Linked DNA regions of Macaca mulatta. The protein of the gene in region 1 purifies or fractionates together with the protein of each later gene. This does not show direct contact. Links are inferred from orthologs where the notes say so. Each region holds a gene or a part of one and is shown in the gene's direction. Other genes may lie near its edges.

Region 1 (4,202 bases):
CTGGCCTCTCAAGGGGTGTGGGAGGCAGAGAGGACGCTTGGGGACAGAGGCGGCGTCTGGAAATAGGGTGTGACAGGCAAGGGGAGAGCTGCTAGGACACTCTACCAAAGCAGGAGGGAGGGTGTGTCTGGGGCTGGCTGGGCTCCTAAGCAGGCCCTAGAAGCACTTTCACAGAGGAGGGGAGAAGTGAGTCACCAGCTTCTCCCACATCCAGCGCCCTGGTAGGAGGCGCTGCTTGGTGTGCTGAATGAATGTTGGGCTTAAATAGTTTCCCGAGAAAGGCTAGTTGCAGGGAGAAGAGGCCTTGAAGGAACAGCCCTCAGCCAGGCCTTCTCCAACCAAATCCTTGCTAGGAGGAGGAGGGGCCCCGACAGTAGAGAAATGCTCCCTCTCCCCCTAACTCCTTCGCTCCCAGCCCAGCCTAAGCTTTTTGCAGCATCACAGCCTCGGTTTACACAGCCTCCCTAGAGCGGGGAGCTCTCTGCCCGCCTGGACAGCCCTATCCGTCCATTGCTGGACAGCTCCACTTGGGCTGGGTCGCCTTCCTCCCTCCCAAGGGAATGGCCCCCTCTCTGAGCTCCCGTCCAGCTCTCATAATGCGCAACCTTGGGACGGCTTCAGGGCCCCAAGATACAGGAGGGAACTAGGAATGCAAGGAGGAGCCGCGGAGAGGCGTACAAGCAGATCGTAGTGCGGGAGCAACACCTCCGAGTCCGCCTCCGCACGAACGCCGAGGACTAGGCGGACCAAAGAACACGGACAAAAGAAGTCTGGACGGTTCGAGAGATTAACAGAGGGATGAGCTGGCGAAGGCACCGACACGGCGCGCAGAGGGAGATGCGGGCCCAGCCGCAGGGAGGAGCTCCAGACGGCGAAACGGACCCAGAGGGCCCCGGGGAAGAGCCCCAGGGCGACGGAGAAGCCTGGGTGTGGCCCGGCTGGCCAGGGGACACTCACATTCGCGGCCATGGTGGGACCCGGCTCGCTGCCGCCGCCTCGCGCTGTTCAGCTAGGAAGTGGGCTGACGACTGGAGCGCGGAGTCCAGCGGCCTCTTGCCAGCCCCAGCTTCGAAAATCCGCGTGGACTCCAAGACCAGGCGGGACTTACTGCAGTTACCGCCCCGTGTGCCCAGTGTTTCTGCGCATGCGCACGGCGAGACCTGGAAACGGGTCAGGGACATTACAGTACCTCATTGATGCGCCTGCGCACTGCAAAGCTTTCTGGGAAATGTAGTTTCTACTGCCTGGCGAGCTGCTGTGGGGCTCGCGACCTGCTGGGAAATGTAGTTTCCGGCTGAGGTGGGCCTGGCCGCGGTTAAGAGGGCGCCGAGGCAGGCGCGCGGCGGGCAGGCCTGGAGGGGGCGGGTCCGCGCGGGCTTCGGAGGCGCCCGCCCTGCCTGAGGAGAGGAGGTCACGGCGTAAAGCTGCAGCTACCGCCACTGCCGCTTCTGCAAGGTCTCAGGGACGGGCTGCAGCCATGTCCTATTGCCGGCAGGAAGGTAGGGAGGGCGGGCTGCCATGGAGACCGGCCTACGAGGGCCTGCGGGAGACACGCGGGCCCCGGCGCCCCGCTACCACGCCGCAGGCGCGGGCCACCCGAGGCGCGGCCCGGTTGCCCACCCTGGGACACTCGGAGGCGGGCAGGCTGGGGGGTCGCCACTCGTGTTTTGCGAATGAGAAAACCGAAGCTCTCGGGGGAACGGGACTGGTCCAAGGTCACAGTGAAGCCCGAACCCTGACCTCAGAGGGGCCTGTGCGTGGGAAGTCGTAAACTAGGCCGGGTTGGGGCACGGGAAATGCCGAGCACGTTGCGTGTGGCTCGTAACTGGGAATGTATGTTAATTATTACTACCGCTCCTGCCATACCCCACGTGTTGCCATTTTGCACGCGCCTTTAAAAGGCGGGTCCCGAAAAGTTGCTACTGGGGGTAGCGTGTGCTGTGCTGGGGTGCTAGGAGTTGTGCTAGGAGTTCTACTAACGGGAATGTTTTTGAGCCCCCTGCTACCTATCAGGCACTGTTCAAGGAAACTTACGTGGCTTGTCTCATTGATCTCGCTGCGCCCTTTGTAAGTCAGACTCTGTTACTGGTCACATTTTACTGAAGAGTAAAGTCTGACACAGGAGACTTGGCTAAAGCCACTCAGCCAGCAAATCGTGGAACCGGGGTTTGAGCCTGGGCATTGTGACCCCAGAACAGCCTTTTCCAATCTAGTGCCCAGTGGATTGCAGGGAGAACCCTGCCTACCTCCCACCCCAAAGTTGAGCTCCAACCACCTAATGCTTCCTTGATGTTACTCTACCCAAGAGCTCAGAAGTACCCAAGCCACAGGTCGGAGGGCCTCCCCACACACTGCCACAAACTGACTCCTTGGCCCTAAGCTCCTACCTAACCCCTCCAGGCCCTGGTTTCCAGTGTTGTAAAATGAGATGTTGGGCTTCACTGATACAGCAAATATTCATGAAGCATCTTCTCTGCTCCAGAGAAGGGGGATGGATGGTTATAAAGCTACAGAGAGAGTTGGAAGTCACCCAGAAATTCTTTGGTGAATACTCCAGCTCCATCAGTTAATTCAAGCAATCTGAAGCCCAGAGAAGGAGGTGGCCTACCTTAGTTACACATCCAGTTAGGAGCATAGCTCAGCCTAAAATGCTGAGCCTTTTCCCTAGTAGCCCTGTCTGCTTCTAGAACCTCTCCTCCTCTGGGTTGTAAAGCCATAAGACTCACTCTTTAATGAGTACTATTATATTTCCGCTGATTACTACTTAATGTGTGCCGTAAGCAAAAGTCCTCTGCCCTCACCACTGTTGTTTTTAATTTCAAGTCTCTCTCTAATTTACTTCATTTAGCAAATAATTTTTGAGCCTTTGGGTATAATGAGGCTGTGCTGATAAACAAAACCCTCCTTCTCTTTGAGGATTTACAGGAGGCAGTTTTCTCTGGAAAGGGAGGCTAGGTCCATCTGCCTTCAAAACATGGAGCCCTTGGCTGGGCGCGGTGGCTCAAGCCTGTAATCCCAGCACTTTGGGAGGCCGAGACGGGCGGATCACGAGGTCAGGAGATCAAGACCATCCTGGCTAACACCGTGAAACCCCGTCTCTACTAAAAATACAAAAAACTAGCCGGGCGAGGTGGCGGGCGCCTGTAGTCCCAGCTACTCCGGAGGCTGAGGCAGGAGAATGGCATAAACCCGGGAGGCGGAGCTTGCAGTGAGCTGAGATCCGGCCACTGCACTCCAGCCCGGGCTACAGAGCAAGACTCCGTCTCAAAAAAAAAAAAAAAAACATGGAGCCCTTATCTTTTCCTGGTTCAAAGATCTCTCTTAGGAGATGAGTGAGAATTGAAAGCACTCACTTATAGGCCTTCCTTAGTATTTTTCTTATCCATACCACTGTCCCCCTAAGAAGTCCCTAACATTTTTTTTTTTTTTTTTTTTTTGCTCACTGATCCTTTATGCTTCCCATAGGATTTTTAAAAAAAATGATCCCAAACTCCTTACCGTATCAGAGCTTATGTGATCTGGCCCTGTCTGCCTTTCCAGCCTGGTCTCTTCCCACCTTTTTGTTGCCCAGCCTCTAACCTCTTCGCTATACCCTTGGTTTGGTAGATCCTGCCTTCACCTCTTCCATGGCTGACTCCTCATCCTTTAAAATTTAGCCTCCTGACCCTTTGTGTCTTTCACATCCTGAACTCTCTGAAATTACCTTTTTTATTTTTTGCCATCTTCCTGCCTGTCTTCTCCCACTAAGCTGAGAGCATCAGATGGGCTGTGGAATCCCCAGCATCTGGCACAGGGCCTGGTGTACAATGGGTGCCCAAATCTTTATTGAATCATGCGTGTACCTGCCCTCTGTCCTGAGTGAATCACTTGCCTGTGCAAGTTTATTTCAGGGGTCCACCTGCTACCCAGCCTTCAGGTTAAACTCCTTGGTTTGGCATTCGAGGGCTCTCATCCTGGCTCCCTGGCCTTGGGCTAGCCACACTTCTGTGTGTCAGCACCATAGTGTTTCTTTCTTAGTTTCCTCTTTCTAATGCAGAGCCTGCCCACTCGTGTTTAGTCAACATTTATAAAGCACATGTGACGTGCCAGCCATTGGGCATATAGTGGTGAGCAATGTGACACATTCTCTGCCTTCCTGGCATGGTGGAAGAGATTGCCATTAAAACATCACCAGACCAATGCATGATTACAGACTGTCATAA
Region 2 (3,995 bases), on another chromosome or scaffold:
CACTGCACTCCAGCCTGGGTGACAGAGCAAACTCCGTCTCAAAATAAAATAAAATAAAAACTAAAAACGTAGTACACATTACGACCTAAGTAGTTGAAATTTGTGCCAAGTCTGAGCAACAAATGAGTTGCTCAGAAGCATTTTAAGGTGATTACTTGGAAGAATAAACAAACACCTTCAAACTTTTCAGAATCACTCATTGTAACTGGTATCCAAATTACAATTTTTAAAATCTGTTCACTCCAATCATAGCAAGTCCCACAAGAAGTTGTATATTTGAAGGTGATTTGAGCTTTTTTTCAATAATTATTCAGACTTTACACGAACTTAATCGACCTTCTCTGAGTGTGTCTAAATTTGGTTAGGTATTTGCAGATTAGCCACATCTATAAACATGGTATATGGAGGTGAAACAAATAGCTTTTACCATGCTTATTCCAGAAAGTCCAGAAAGCATTTTAAATCAAATGTAGAGTATCACGTCATATCCAGAATAAAAGTAAAAATAATGGATCACAACTTAAAATTACAGTACTGTCTTTAATAAAAAAACGTGTTCCTCACTGTGCACAATGTAGCACTAACATGGTCTTCCGAACAGTGCTGCTTGGTATAAAACCAAGAAATATTAAAGACCAGGAATAAGGTCATGTTTCCTATGGGTACATTTCGGAAAAGAAAATACATTCAAAGAGTATGACTGTAGACAGGATTTTGTACAACCTCAACAGGTGACAAAATTTAAAACTAGGTAACCGCCTTCATAAGGAACTTGAAACTAAAATTTTTGCCACGAAAACATGACATGTGCAAAAGTTATCTCTCTGGCCATCGCTCCTGCTAAGGACACTGGGAAGGACATGCTCAACGTAGCAGTCGATCAAAACGATTCCAGGGAAACTGCGCAACAGCCTGGGGCCGAGAAGCGAAACCTGGTCTTCTTCACCCTCGTCTCACTCCTTTTCCCGCAGACTTGGTAGTGGGAGATAGGACGGGCGTCTCCTATATGCAGTCAAAACTTGCCACGAGCGGCTCGACTTGGGACAGGCAATTTGCCCTGCCACCCTTCCGTCGCCCCCACCCCTCCTTTACTGAAGGCCGAAGGCAGAGACGTCCTCCTCCCCCTTCTCCTCCTCTTTGGTGTCTCCAGCCAGGAGGCGGGAGCGACCCACAGCAGCTGACCCAGCTCAGGCACTGCCTCTTCCACAGCCCTCAAGACACACCATGGGCCCAGAGGCAGGTTTGCTACACAGCAGCGACGACGCAGGCGGCGGCCCCGGCGACTCGCAACTGCCTCCCTGACCACAGCGACCACCGCCTAACACACCCGAGAAGCCATCGCCGCCACCGGCAGGAGAACCTAGGATCCAGAAAGCCATCCTCGCGATCAACTAAAGCTACGTCAACAACTATGGCGGGCGAGGGACCGCGGGCGGAGGCGGTGCGGGAAGGATGGGGTGTGTACGTCACTCCCAGGGCCCCCATCCGAGAAGGAAGGGGCCGGCTCGCCCCTCAAAATGGCGGCAGCAGCGACGCGCCTGCGTACGGAACTCCTCTGTCGCGCCAGGGCCGGCGGGAAGTGAGGTTCTCGGAGGAGCCGCCAGAAGTGTACGGAGACTTCGAGCCCCTGGTGGCCAAAGAAAGGTCCCCGGTGGGAAAACGAAGCCGGCTAGAAGAGTTCCGGCCCGATTCTGCGAAAGAGGAAGTGAGAGAAAGCGCGTACTACCTTCGTTCTAGGCAGCGGCGGAGGCTGCCGCGACTCCAGGAAGCCGAAGAGATGCAGACGCGAAGGGCTACCCGCCTTCAGCAGCAGTACTCACAGCAGCCTCCGCTACAGCCGTCTCCCGTTACGACCAGGAGAGGGCTGCGGGACTGTCATTCCTCTGAAGGTGAGGACCGCGGAGGTAACAGTCCCAGCCGCGAGCCAGGGAACGCGCGGGGGCGGGCGCGCGCCTCCGTGGAGCTCATCCCCGCCTGGGTACTAAGTACTGGGATTGGGTACTGGGTACTCCTCAGTCCCTTCTGGACGTGTGTCGCCGTGCAAGGGCCATCCTGACCCGCAGCGGGGAAGGAAGCGCCGACCTAAGGAGTGGAAAGATGGTCGTATGGAGCGACCCGGGCAGGGCTGGGGCGCTCTGACCAACATCGGGCATCAATTTAGGGGAGTCAGGGCTGCCTTTTTCTGCAGGCCTTCACGAGGGGACAGCGAATTACTCCAGGTTCGGTTTCATTTTGGTTTCGTCTACCCTGCGGATGTTTCTACGGAAACCACTTCCATTTCCTTTTTTAACGCTGGCAGGCCAGAGTCTCCAGCTGAGGATCAAACCTTTCAGTCGTTTTCCCTCCCCACCCAGGTGGAGAGAGAGAAAGGAGAAATTTTGTGAGTGGGCATTTCGAGGGATTGCTGAGTTTAGTTAATTGATTTGAGACCTCACCCAATACTTACACCGAAATGGGGTAACTCATTTTTCCTGAACTCATGTTCCCCAGTGTCTGATAAACTTGAGCTGATTGCTCTTTCTCCAGTGTGGTGGTCCCTGCCAAAAATCTGCCACTTTGGTGGCCGTCACTGTAACCTCAAGTAGTCTGGCAAATCAGGCTGACAAAGCAACCTGAAAAACAATACTATTAATTAGTTTTCGTCTAAATGGACAAAAGGGATGCTGACAGAGTGAATGTATAGTGTTAGGTAAGTCATAGGTGAATCAGTTTCCTTAACCTATCCTCTCCCACCCTGCCCCCCCATTTTGGGACCCAACACTGAGTCACAGATGAAGTTTCATGTTAGTCCCACGTAAGGCACCTGTGAGGTAAAAATCAGCGGACCTGAGTCACAATGGGAAGACATAGTTTGTGGTAGACTATTGATATGCGGAGGAGTGGGTTTTCAGCTTACAGCACGATGATAGGCTGCAAGTTTACCTGCTGACTCGTGAAGGTACTGACAGATTTGAAGACTTGATTTTGGCAACTTTATGTTAAAGTTGTGTCAGTTACTTTTGGGTGTAGCAACTCAAGACAGTTTAGCCCATATATATGTGTGTTTTATCTCTTTTAAGATTACAAAGTTTTGGCCGGGCGCGGTGGCTCAAGCCTGTAATCCCAGCACTTTGGGAGGCCGAGACGGGCGGATCACGAGGTCAGGAGTTCGAGACCATCCTGGCTAACACGGTGAAACCCCGTCTCTACTAAAAAATACAAAAAACTAGCCGGGCGAGGTGGCGGGCGCCTGTAGTCCCGGCTACTCGGGAGGCTGAGGCAGGAGAATGGCGTAAAAACCCGGGAGGCGGAGCTTGCAGTGAGCTGAGATCCGGCCACTGCACTCCAGCCTGGGCGACACAGCGAGACTCCGTCTCAAAAAAAAAAAAAAAAAAAATTACAAAGTTTTTGCAGACAAGGAGCCTATCATATATATTTGATAGTAATTTAAGTACTTGGTTTAATTCAGTATCTTTCAGTACCTGGAAGAATGCTTTGCACAAGGTAGGCAATAAATATGTTACATTGTATTGAGTCCCACAGAGCCTAGTGCAGTTATATAGGCTAACATTTTTTTAACAAGTAAAGAATTTACCCCTATTTTATTAAATCTTTAAAGATCTAAACATTTTCACTCTTCTGCATTCTTCCACATTGTTTGTGATTCTCTACCCCATCTTTTTGATTTTCTGAAATGATATATTTTTGTAAAACAACAGTGGCAAATATTACTATATTCTAACGAATTAGTTGTATTCTGTCCCAAGAGGAGTTCTGACTAGTTTAATTCCTAAATTTTGGTAAACCTAACCACCTGTTTCTAAAGAAATGAATTTCTTGCATTTTTGCATATGTATTATTACAAAAATGCATAATCTGTGCCATTATCTCCCAGGTCATATATTCTGAATTTTAACTCTAGTTACGTCTGTTTTTTAGAGGATGAACCATCTTCCGAAACTGATTTAAGCCAAACGATTTCAAAGAAAACTGTCAGGAGCATACAAGAGGCTCCA
Region 3 (4,165 bases), on another chromosome or scaffold:
AAGGAAAACGAATTGATGGTGATAGAGGTCAGAATAGTGGTTAACTTCAAGAGGGAGTATTAATGGGGAAGAAACACAAGATAACTTTTTGGGGTGCAGGAAGTATTTTATATCTTGATCTGGGTGGTGGTTATACAAATGTATATATACACATATATATTTAATTAAGCTTGAGATTCGTGTATTTTATGCACTTTATGAATATTATACCTCAATCTTTAAAAATCAGGGCACAAGGTTTGACAAAGATGAGTCTTCAAAGCAGAAAGGTCGATTGTTTAAAATCAGGATGGTCTTGGACAATTAGGGAAGCATATGATGACCACACATATAAAATGTCTAGCCCACCTTTTCCAATGAGCAATGTGCCCTTGCGTCATCAATTTACATCTTGTAAATTTATTTTACTAGGAAATTGTGTGACAAATCAAGGGACTGAGTGTTGTTTCCTTCTTTTTAGTGGGGAATGAGTGAATGGTGCAGTTTGAAGAACACATTAAGTCTTGAAAGTTGAAAAGTTCACCAGTACCCTCCTTCTCCCTCACCCAAGATTAGCCCCGGTGGCAGCCGAAATTGCTTTTATTAATCTCTTTGTGGCTCAGGACCTCTGACTGTTGAAGAAAACGTATTTTACACGTCTTGTCTTTCTACGAGCAGGAAGCCTATCTCGCTTATCGTTGCAACACCAGAAGGGGCTTAGTGTGACCTACACACAGTAGTAATCGTACAACGTCCCATGGAGCACTGCTTCTCAAATTTGGCTGTACATACGAATCACCTGGGGAATTTTAAATTGTATTGATGCCTGGGTCCTACTCCCAGAGATTCTGATTTAATTGAAATGAGGTGAGTCCTGGGCACTGGGACGTTTAAAAACGTTTCAGGGATTTTAACGCGAAACAAAAACAGAATCGCTGTTTGGGGGCGTTCTTCCTTCTCCACGCCTGATTTACGCTCAGGAGTCGGCTGTCCGGAACTGGGATGAGGTTCACTGATATCTGTCGCCACGCCTCTTCCTACAGAACCAATAAACTGAAGCGGCTCTGTGACATCCCAAGGGACTTGAATTGTAAGCGGGCTGCAGACGCTCTGCACCCCGCCCAAGCCTCTATGGTACTTTGGCGTCCCCTCTAGCACTGGCAAGTCGCCTTCCTCTTCGCCCGGCGCCGGCCGCTCCCTCTCTAGGATCGCCGAGTTCCCGGCGCCGTCTCGTTGGTATTTAGTTCCGGAAGCGAGTTTGAATCAAAGGAGAGGCGGGACTTCCCTCCCGGAAGTAACCCACGTGCTTCCGCTGGAGCCTTCTGGAGAGGCGGGTAACGTTATAGTTTTTGTCAGAAGTTGGGGTCTCCGTGAGCATTGCGATCCGTCCCAGGCAGTGGTGAGTGACCCATGACCTCTGAATTCAATGTGGCTCTGATTATGGCGTCGCCATTTCAGAGGCGCAGCCTTTAGGCTGCGTCCCAGTCGCCTGTGTTCAGCGTACGATCTCATTCCCAGGGCCCTGGAGGTTCAGGCTTATGGTTAGAGCGTTCTGCCTCGGTCCTCGATCTTCTGAATAGAGGTGACCTCCAGGGACTGGGGCATCAGAGATCCGGGGCTCGATTTCCAGGCTCGCCATGGACGTCCTGTGCGACCTTGGGCGAGGCCTCAGTTTCCACATCCGTGAAATGGGGTGGTTAAGCTCACTGAGGTTAGTGGCCCGTGGTGGTCTGGCGCCCTGTGAGTCCTCTGTATCCTCTAGCCCCAAGGGGTAGGAGAGTGAACGGCGGCGGTGGGTGCTGATGGTGATGTCTGCTCCCAGGATTAGGAGGCCAGAAGGAGATACCTTCCACGGTGCTAGGCTGAGATGGATCCTCTCAGGGCCCAACAGCTGGCTGCGGAGCTGGAGGTGGAGATGATGGCCGATATGTACAACAGGTAAAGAGAACTATGTTCTACCCTGTCTTGGAAAATAAGTCTTGGTCACCCATATCGAAGGTGAATGACTTACAACAAATGCCTTCCTGAATGTAGGGGAGCCTGAGGCCCATGCTTACCCTCCCCATACGCACCTCCAAGGTTGATCCTAATGTAGATGCAGTCACTAGAATGAGTTGGGCATTTAGATGGGGATGGAACTGGCAATGCAGGAGCCAAGCAGGAAGAGAAGCTCCAATCCAGGCTCTGGTTAGGTTCCAAGAAAAGCTGAGTATTTGCCTCTTGATAAATAGCACATAGCCAGCCCATTTAGTAGTTAACATTTTAAAACCCTTTATTCTGTGTCAGGCTCTTGTTAATCTTCAAAATAATCCAGTGGGTTAATTTTATTAGTCCCATCTTAAAATGAGGAAATTGATGCTGCTAGAGGTTAAGTAACTTCCTTAGGGTCCGCATCTGGTGGGTAACAATGCCAGAACTAGCACCTCAGTCTGGTTCTGCAACTAGTGCTCATAACCATTTGGCACATTTGGGAACAAATCCTGGCTCCACCAATCACCAGCAGTATACTTGGACATGTTACTTGCACTGTTTGACAATTGGTTTCCTCATTATGAAAAAGACATAATGATACCTACCTCATAGGGCATCATAAATATTAAATCTAAAAATATATGAAAGTCCTTAGCCTCAAGCCCAACACTTAGTAACAGTGAAATGTCTGCTATTTTTATTGGCTTAAGCTCTCTTGATTGGTTGGTTTATCCTGACGACTATAAATTAGAAAGATTGTTAAGTGTAGACTGTGAGGTCAGATGACCTGGGTTCATATCTCAGCTCTATGTGATTCTTAGAAAATTACTGAGCCTCGGCCGGGCACGGTGGCTCAAGCCTGTAATCCCAGCACTTTGGGAGGCCGAGGCGGGCGGATCACGAGGTCAGGAGATCGAGACCATCCTGGCTAACACGGTGAAACCCCGTCTCTACTAAAAATACAAAAAGAAATTAGCCGGGCGTGGTGGCGGGCGCCTGTAGTCCCAGCTACTCGGGAGGCTGAGGCAGGAGAATGGCGTGAACCCGGGAGGCGGAGCTTGCAGTGAGCCGAGATAGCGCCACTGCACTCCAGTCTGGGCGACAGAGCGAGACTCCGTCTCAAAAAAAAAAAAAAAGAAAATTACTGAGCCTCTGTTTGCCTTAATTTTCTCGTCTGTAAAATGGGGATAAGTATCTCTTGGGGTAATTGTAAGCATTGCATAACAGAATGCAGGTAAAGCACTTAGCATGATGCCTGGCACATAGCCAGTCCTTAACAAATTGTTTCTACTTAATTAGTCATATACATGGGCTCAGGCAAGTTTCCTACTTGCAAGGACCTTCCAGTGGTTGAGGTGTAAACTGAGGATTTACACTGCTTTCTTGGGGAAGGTGACATCAATATAGCAGGGCTGGAATGGTCGAGGGTTCCTGGGATGTCACAGGATGCTGCTGACATGACCTTGCCCCTCCCTCCCTCCAGAATGACCAGTGCCTGCCACCGGAAGTGTGTGCCTCCTCACTACAAGGAAGCAGAGCTCTCCAAGGGCGAGTCTGTGTGCCTGGACCGATGTGTCTCTAAGTACTTGGACATCCATGAGCGAATGGGCAAAAAGTTGACAGAGTTGTCTATGCAGGATGAAGAGCTGATGAAGAGGGTGCAGCAGAGCTCTGGGCCCGCGTGAGGTCCGTGTCAGCATACACCCTGGGGTACACCCCACCCCTTCCCACTTTAATAAAAGTGCTCCCTGTTGGGTGTCATCTGTGAGGACTGCCAGGCCTAAGCTCTCTGTAGCGAGTCTTCAAGATCCTGGAGTGGTAGCGCTGTCCCCTGGTGAAGGAGTATTTGTCACACTGGAATGTGACTGTGTGTGTATGTATGTATGTATATATATATTAAAACAAGTTTGTTGACACCTACTATGTGCAAAGCAGTGTGCGTGGCATTTGAGAGTAAACAGACACAGCCCCTACCAGCAGAGGGAGACTAATGTAGTGTTTAAGAGTAGGACAGGCCAGGCACAGTGGCTCACGCCTGTAATCCCAGCACTTTGGGAGGCTGAAGTGGGTGGATCACTTGAGGTCAGGAGTTCAAGACCACCTGGCCAACATGGCAAAACCCCGTCTCTATTAAAAATACAAAAATTAGCTGGGTGTAGTGGCGGGTGCTTGTAATCCCAGCTACTCAGGAGGCTGAGGCAGGAGAATCGCTTGA
Region 4 (3,291 bases), on another chromosome or scaffold:
CGCTAAGAAATTTGCTGCTGCAGACAAAAGCCACATAGGGCCTTACCACGGGCAAGGCATGAATCCGTGGGACTGCAGGTGAGTGACAGAAGAGAGACACCTGTGTCCAGGACACACTGCACAGGAACCCCAGGGACTCTCTCTCTGTCATGTTCCTGGTTATCAGGACGGCTCACCAGCTTTCTGCAGAGGCCAGCTGGACCCAGGGGAGCAACCAGTAGGAGCGAGAGCACGGCCATCAGGACAGACTACTCACAAGACCTGGCTGAGCTGATGGAACTGCTCCAGAGCCTGGCGACACCAGCACTGTTGCTTGTCACTGCTGCACCCTGCGCACAGCGGGCTCTGCAGGAGCCGGTAGTACCGGCGACGGGCATACCGGCTGTCCAGCTCCCCCTCCAGTTCCGGGTCTGTGCCCCCTTCCCCCTTCCTCTTACTCTGCATATAGACTCTCAAGAAGCACCCATACAGACGCTGGATCATCTCTTGGAAGGTTCTGGGGGTACTAAAGAACAAGACTCCGCGCAACATAGTGTGGACTTTTTCTCGCAGCCCCTGAGCACCAGTGCCCATCAGCAAGCCCAGGCGAGTCCATTTCTCCAGCAGCTCTAGGCTACGCAGGTAGGGATCCAGGCGGCTCTCCAGCAGGCCAAAAGCGTCAAGGAGCAGCAGAAGGCACTGGGGCTCATCCGTAGAGTTCTCGCATTGGGAGATGGCATTCCAGAACTCAGGGGAGATGTTGGCCTGCAGATCGTTCTGCAGCACCTCTACGAACCACTCCTCCAGGACCGAGTGCAGGCCGTGGCCCCTCAGAACCTCCACCGCCGCCCGGAGCTCCTCTTCCTTTGGCGGGACTGCACCGCTGGTCCGGGAAGACACCTGGAGCGCAGAAAACCGTGAAGCGAGGGGAACACAACATAGAGGTGGGGAGAGGCGGGGAAGGGAAGAAGCTGAGGGGTAGGCTGCAAAAACTCCGCTGCCCCCTGTCCGTGGTGTCCGGACGTTGGGCCGAAACTAGGGAAGGGCTGCCAGCGGAGCTGAACGAAATGAAGTGGAATGGCGGTGGAAAGCGGCAGGACAGGCCAGAGGCGGATGACGGACAGAGCTGTATGAACCCGAAGGTGGCCGCCCCAAAGTGCATAGGGTCCCGGAAACTCCGCGCGGGGCCGCCGCTCTCTTCCCAGGCCTCACCAGCCCCAGCGCAGCTGGCGGCACCAGGCCGGTGCTCACGGTATTCCAGGCCACTAACAACTCCTGTCCGGGCCGGGAGTCGCTGTCCCCCTCCGCCACCACAACTGCCGCCGCCATCTGCAGCCACCGGCTCCGAGATCCCCTCGGCACGGCGCAAAGCGATGACGCAAGTCTGCACGCGCAGCCATGACGCGCACAAGGCGCTCAGCGATGACGCGTAGTTCGGCGCGCCGTCAGGGAGTCGTGCGCAGGCGCGGACAGCGCTGGTTCCGCGTCGGTTGGGGTGGCGGGGCCCCGGGCGGCGTAGACCATGACCCAGCAGGGCGCGGCGCTGCAGAACTACAACAACGAGCTGGTCAAGTGTGAGCGGCGCAGCCGGGACGGGGAGGTCGGGAGGGCCGCAGGGCCGGGTTCCCGGCTCGCAGCGGGGTGCCCCTGGACCCGCCTAGTTGCGGGCATCGCGCAGCTGAGCAGAGCCCTCCGTGCCGGGGGCTGGGTGTCCGTGGCCCCGAGCCCTCGTTGGCTCGCAGGCCCCGCGCCGGGTGCTCGGGGGTGGTGCCTGACTCTGGCTTCCTCGGGTGGAAGGAGGCCCGCCCTCCGCCGCCGCGCTCCTGCCCTGGGCCCACAGCCCCGCCCCTCCCGGCCCCCCAGGCATAGAGGAGCTGTGCCAGAAGCGGGAAGAGCTGTGCCGGCAGATCCAGGAGGAGGAGGACGAGAAGCAGCGGCTGCAGAATGAGGTGAGGCAGCTGACGGAGAAGCTGGCCCGCGTCAACGAGAACCTGGCACGCAAGATTGCCTCTCGCAACGAGTTCGACCGGACCATCGCGGAGACGGAGGCCGCCTACCTCAAGGTGGAGCTCGGGAGGCCAGGCGGAGCATCAGGGGATAGCCGCGGCAGGGGTGTAGCCGCGGCAGGGCGTCAGGACCGTCTGGGGCTCCCAGCTGTGGGCAGTCTGTGCCTCGCTGGCATGTCGGGCAGGAGCAGCGTGGCCAGGCCCATTGAGGAACCCAGGCTGCTGCGGGAGTGACCGTGGGGCTGTCTGGGGGACCTGGGGCATCCTGGGTCCTGGTCTTCATCCGGTTCTCGCTAGCCATGTGGTTCTTTTTGCTTAGAGTGTGAAGAGCCACGTCTTGGGCCAGTGCTAACCCAGCCTGGCTTTGAGGGTGGGGAGGAAGTGTTCCGGGTCAGATTCAGGAGGGAAGAGGGCCCTGTTACCCCGTCTGCCAGTCCCCTTGGGCTTCCGCCTTCCCCCGCACAGGATCCCTTGGCTACAGCACCCACAGCCAGGTCCCAGAACCTGAGTGTGAGGACAGCTGGGGCTTAGGAACTTCCCAGCAGGTGAACAGTAACAACTTTCTCACTTCTCTGGCCCCAGATTCTGGAGAGCTCCCAGACTTTGCTCAGCGTCCTCAAGAGGGAAGCTGGGAACCTGACCAAGGCTACAGCCTCAGACCAGAAAAGTAGCGGTGGCAGGGACAGCTGACCAGACCACGGGCAGGGCCTGCCTCTGTGCGCCCCTCAGCTCAGCCCCGACAAGTCTGTCCTCAGAGCGTCTTTGTTCTTCACAGCAGCAGCTGCCTTCCCTCACTGTCCCCGGTGCCGAGAGGGGCGGCTGCCAGCCTCTACTGGCATCATTGACAAGCCAGGGCACAGCCCACCCAGGGGCTTCGTGCTCACACGGGCTGTGGGGATGGTGGGTTCCAGGTCAGCTCTGCAAAGGGCCTGTCTCTGTGGCACCCACACTCCTGCCCTGCTGGGGAGGCCCTGGTTGTCTGAGCACCATGGGGGCCCCCTCAGCTTGTCCCTCCTCAGCCAGCAGAGGCCCAGGGCAGGGGACAGGGGTTCTCCTTCACCCCAGAACCCAAACCTCAGGGCTCACCCCTGTGGCCTGTGATTATCAATAAAGATTATCTTTGTAAAGGTCCGTGCCAGCCTGCTGCTTGCCCGTGTCAACAGTGTGGGGCTGCCAGACACCCGCAGAGCCAGAGCCTGAGGCTCCCCCTTGGGAAAGGAGGGAGGAGGCGTCTGGAGTGGTCTCCCTATGACTGCCCAACTAGCCTCAGGGACACCGCTGAGGGTGCCCACCCTGCCCAGGCCAG
Region 5 (4,142 bases), on another chromosome or scaffold:
CTTCAGGAGACCTGAGAAGAGGCTGTAGTTACCATAGCGACTGGTGTAGTAGTTTCCTTGCATGTCAGGAAGGATCTCTTACCTGGATAACTGAAGTTGCCTTCTAACCTGTCCCTGTCTTTGCACTTTACTCCCTTAAAATCCATTTCTACTCACAGATAAACTGATATTTTAATTTTAATTTTGTTATGTTAAATATTAGATTTTAAAATAACATATTTGTTATCAATGCCCAATTATATGCCCTCACATACTTAAATTCCTGCATAATCACCCAGGCATATATGAACATGTATACCAGAGTAACGTTTTTGTTGGGGGGTGGGGTTGTTGTTTTTGGTGACTTTTTGGTTGTTTTTTGAGACAGGGTCTTACTCTGTTGCCCAGGCTGGAGTGCAGTGGCGCAATTTTGGCTCACTGCAACCTCTTCCTCCCAGGTTCAAGCACTTCTGCCCCAGCCTCCCAAGTAGCTGGGATTACAGGCATGTGCCACCACACCTGGCTTTTTTTTTTTTTTTTTTTTTTCCTGAGACTGAGTCTTGCTCTGTTGCCCAGGCTTGAGTGCAGTGGCATGATATCAGCTCACTGCAACCTTAGCCTCCTGGGTTCAAGTGATTCTCCTGCCTCAGCCTCCCGAATAGCTGGAATTACAAGTGTGCGCCATCAAGCCTGGCTAATTTTTGTATTTTTAGTAGAGACAGGATTTCACCATTTTGGCCAGGCTGGTCTTGAACTCCTGACCTCAAGTGATCTACCCTCCTTGGCCTCCCAAAATGCTGGGATTACAGGCATGAGCCACCACACCTGGCCTGAATCATATTACTTATTTTCTTAAAACCCTCCAGTGGTTTACTGTTTCAGTTGGAAAAAAATCGTAACTGCATCCTATGTTTCACAAGGCCTGGGGTCTCGTCCCTACCTTCCTTCTTCATTTCCTGACCCTCCTCCTTGGTTCAGCCATGTTGTACCTTATTCGTGCCAAACTTATTCTCTCTTTCAGGTCTTTGTATTTACTGTTCGTTGTGCCAGGACTTTGTGCCCCTGCCCATTTTATTGTCTTTTAATTTCATTTTTTTTTTTTTAATTTTTAAATTTGTTCCAAATCCCTGCCCCACTCCCATTCCATTGTCTTTAAATAGCTAGTACTTTCTTGTTATTGAGGTCACAGCCCCTCCCCAGTGGCCCAGTCTTTGTTAGCTTCACCCAAAGTTGACAGCAAACAGTTATCCTGTTTTATTTCAGTCATAGCATTTATTTATTTATTTATTTATTTGTATACATTTAAGGAGTACAAGTGCAGTTTTGTTACATGGATATATTGCCTGGTTGTGTAGTCTGGGCTTGTTTTTTTTTTTGAGACGGTGTTCCGCTCTTATTGCCCAGGCTGGAGTGCAATGGCCCATCTCGGCTCACCGCAATCTCCGCCTCCTGAGTTGAAGTGATTCTCTGCCTCAGCCTCCCAGGTAGCTGGGATTATAGGCATGCACCACCATGCACAGCTAATATTTTTGTATTTTTAGTAGAGACAGGGTTTCTCCATGTCAGGCTGGTCTAGAATTCCCGACCTCAGGTGATCTGCCCGCCTCGGCCTCCCAAATTGCTGGGGAAGTCGGGGCTTTTAATATAACCATCACCCAAATAATGTACTTGTACCTGTTAGGTAATTTCTTCCTCTCACCCTTCCCAATCTCCAGTGTCTATTATTCCACACTCTTTGTGTCCATGTGTACACAGTATTTAGCTCTCACTTATAAGTGAGGACATGCAGTATTTCACTTCCTGTTTCTGAGTTGTTATAATCATAACATTTATTACTGTTTGAATAAATTTTGTTCATTTACTTACTGTATTTCCTCCCCTAGAATGTAAATTTTAGGAGGGCAAATGAGTATATTTTCAGCATCTAGAACCATGTCTGTTACATAGATGCATAGAGATGTTCAAATATTTGTGTTTTTTTTTTTTTTTTTGAGACGGAGTCTCGCTCTGTCGCCCAGGCTGGAGTGCAGTGGCGCGATCTCGGCTCACTGCAAGCTCCGCCTCCTGGGTTCACGCCATTCTCCTGCCTCAGCCTCCTGAGTAGCTGGGACTACAGGCGCCCGCCACCGCGCCCGGCTAATTTTTTGTATTTTTAGTAGAGACGGGGTTTCACCGTGGTCTCGATCTCCTGACCTTGTGATCCGCCCGCCTCGGCCTCCCAAAGTGCTGGGATTACAGGCGTGAGCCACCGCGCCCGGCCCAAATATTTGTTGAGTGAAAATGAATGAGAGATACATGTTGTCACCAGGGGTTAAGAAGAGGGGAGAGAGATTAAGGAGAGAGGTTTACTGGGATTGGGAGACATGGAGCCTGTTTCCATAGAAGCGGCCACCTCTACTCTTTCTTTTTGGCTTTCATGTTCCTACCCTAGCTGAGGAGTAAGGTATAGTCATCACAGCACCCTTTTCTTTTTCTTTTTCTTTTTTTTTTTTTTTTTAAGACAGAGTCTCACTGTGTCACCCAGGCTGGAGTGCAGTGGCACGATCTCGACTCACTGCAACCTCTGCCCCCTGGGTTCAAGTGATTCTCCTGTCTTAGCCTCCCAGGTAGCTGGGATTACAGGTGTGTGCCACCACACCTGGCTAATTTTTTAATATATTTCCACTTCTGGATAATTTTTTTGTATTTTTAGTAGAGACAGGGTTTCACCCTGTCCAGGCTGGTCTCGAACTCCAGACCTCAAGTGATCCTCCTGCCTCAGCCTCCCTAAGTACTGGGATTACAGATATGAGCTACCAAGCCTGACCCAGCACCGTTTTCTTGCTGCTACAAAGACTAGTCTATGAGCCTTTTAGGTTTTCATTGTTTTTACCATTGAACTTCATGAGAGATTCCAAAACTAGCAAAGTTTCAATCATGGAAGTCGGTGGGTATTTGGGCGTGGCTGACAGGGAGCAGAAGGGCTGGTGAGTGATGGAGCCAATGCAGGGACTGAGGTTTCCCCAGGCCATATATTGCTCAGTCCATGGCTATGGGGAGACAGTGTCATTTGTAGGTATAACTAAACACCACCTACATTCTTTGTGGTAAGGTCAACTTGCGACATCTCAGGAGGACATGGGCTGTCTTAAAAGACATAGCCTGGCCTGCCACACCTGGGCACCCCCTACCCCAAGCCCCCACTGTGAAGCAGCAGCCCCAGACATGAAGAACAGCCCTTGCCCTCTCTTCGCAGGTTGCTATCGGCTGGTGGACTATTTGGAAGGGATCCAGAAGAATTTTGATGAGGCTGCCAAGGTGTTGAAGTTTAACTGTGAAGAGAACCAGCACAGCGATAGTTGCTACAAACTGGGGGCCTACTATGTGACTGGAAAAGGTAAGGGTAAGGAGGGTCTGCTTTTTGGGTCCTTGTCACTGATGGCAGTGCTGGCCTCACACCTGAGCCCCATGATGAGCTCTTGCAGAAGGGTCTCGCAGGCATTGGGCAAGTGCATTGTAGGAAGATGGAGAGGTAGGAGTTCAGCAGAGCGATGTGGGGAAGAACACAGCCTTTCAAGTTAGGTAAACCTTAGGGAATGCTATTTGCAAATAGTGAGATCTTGAGCCAATCACTTCAACTCTGTGCACTCAAGTTACATCACCTGTAAATTGGAGGGAAATAGTACTTGCTTTGTAGGGTCGTGAGGATTAAATAGGATAGTATAGAAAAAGGCATCAGCATGTGCCTGGCACAGAGTAAGGGGTCAGTAATTATAATTGTCTTGCTTCTGTCTTTTCTCCTACTCTAATTATAGTTATCACTGGCATAGTGTTTACATTATGTATGGCTAAATAACAGATCACCTCAGTAGTTTCTGTGGGTCAAGAATTTGGGAGTGGTTTAGTGGGGTACCTCAGGGTGTCTCATGAGGTTATAGTCAGACATTGGCCATGGAACCAGGGCTGTCGTCATTGGAAGGCTTGACTGAAGTTGGGAGTTTCCAGTTCTAAGATGACTCACTCTGATGGCTGGTAACAGAGGCCTCTGTTCCTTACCAGCTGTTATTGGGAGAGCTCAGATCATCATGACATGGTTCTCTCCATGGGCTGCTTGAGTGTCCTCATGACATGGCGTCTGGCTTCTCCCAGAGTGAGTAATTTAAAGGAGAGAACAAGATAGAATC

What was found.
Region 2: the proteins of CHCHD4 (region 1) and TOR1AIP1 purify together in Homo sapiens (co-immunoprecipitation; 3 studies listed by BioGRID and IntAct, with this or other methods). This does not show direct contact. The link is inferred for Macaca mulatta from reciprocal best matches to the Homo sapiens genes CHCHD4 and TOR1AIP1.
Region 3: the proteins of CHCHD4 (region 1) and TIMM10 purify together in Homo sapiens (co-immunoprecipitation; 4 studies listed by BioGRID and IntAct, with this or other methods). This does not show direct contact. The link is inferred for Macaca mulatta from reciprocal best matches to the Homo sapiens genes CHCHD4 and TIMM10.
Region 4: the proteins of CHCHD4 (region 1) and SSNA1 purify together in Homo sapiens (co-immunoprecipitation; 3 studies listed by BioGRID and IntAct, with this or other methods). This does not show direct contact. The link is inferred for Macaca mulatta from reciprocal best matches to the Homo sapiens genes CHCHD4 and SSNA1.
Region 5: the proteins of CHCHD4 (region 1) and COA7 purify together in Homo sapiens (co-immunoprecipitation; 3 studies listed by BioGRID and IntAct, with this or other methods). This does not show direct contact. The link is inferred for Macaca mulatta from reciprocal best matches to the Homo sapiens genes CHCHD4 and COA7.

What each region holds. Positions count from the first base shown.
Region 1 is NC_133407.1:152,924,783-152,928,984, reverse strand, and holds the start of CHCHD4 (mitochondrial intermembrane space import and assembly protein 40), read left to right. Parts: upstream 1-1,395; 5' UTR 1,396-1,477; coding exon 1,478-1,499; intron 1,500-4,202. Other genes in the region: TMEM43 (transmembrane protein 43), read right to left, coding at 958-969.
Region 2 is NC_133406.1:37,288,373-37,292,367, forward strand, and holds the start of TOR1AIP1 (torsin-1A-interacting protein 1), read left to right. Parts: upstream 1-1,193; 5' UTR 1,194-1,224; coding exon of another isoform or gene 1,225-1,302; 5' UTR 1,303-1,411; coding exon 1,412-1,889; intron 1,890-3,918; coding exon 3,919-3,995. Other genes in the region: uncharacterized protein LOC144340607, read left to right, coding at 1,225-1,302. UniProt on the Homo sapiens protein: Required for nuclear membrane integrity. Induces TOR1A and TOR1B ATPase activity and is required for their location on the nuclear membrane. Binds to A- and B-type lamins. Possible role in membrane attachment and assembly of the nuclear lamina.
Region 3 is NC_133419.1:15,871,648-15,875,812, forward strand, and holds TIMM10 (mitochondrial import inner membrane translocase subunit Tim10), read left to right. Parts: upstream 1-1,363; 5' UTR 1,364-1,378; intron 1,379-1,801; 5' UTR 1,802-1,846; coding exon 1,847-1,917; intron 1,918-3,433; coding exon 3,434-3,635; 3' UTR 3,636-3,801; downstream 3,802-4,165.
Region 4 is NC_133420.1:5,265,393-5,268,683, reverse strand, and holds SSNA1 (microtubule nucleation factor SSNA1), read left to right. Parts: upstream 1-1,431; 5' UTR 1,432-1,501; coding exon 1,502-1,553; intron 1,554-1,842; coding exon 1,843-2,042; intron 2,043-2,567; coding exon 2,568-2,675; 3' UTR 2,676-2,789; downstream 2,790-3,291. Other genes in the region: ANAPC2 (anaphase-promoting complex subunit 2), read right to left, coding at 257-879, 1,192-1,308. UniProt on the Homo sapiens protein: Microtubule-binding protein which stabilizes dynamic microtubules by slowing growth and shrinkage at both plus and minus ends and serves as a sensor of microtubule damage, protecting microtubules from the microtubule-severing enzyme SPAST.
Region 5 is NC_133406.1:187,950,599-187,954,740, forward strand, and holds the start of COA7 (cytochrome c oxidase assembly factor 7), read left to right. Parts: upstream 1-1,340; 5' UTR 1,341-1,432; intron 1,433-2,740; 5' UTR 2,741-3,096; coding exon 3,097-3,355; intron 3,356-4,142. UniProt on the Homo sapiens protein: Required for assembly of mitochondrial respiratory chain complex I and complex IV.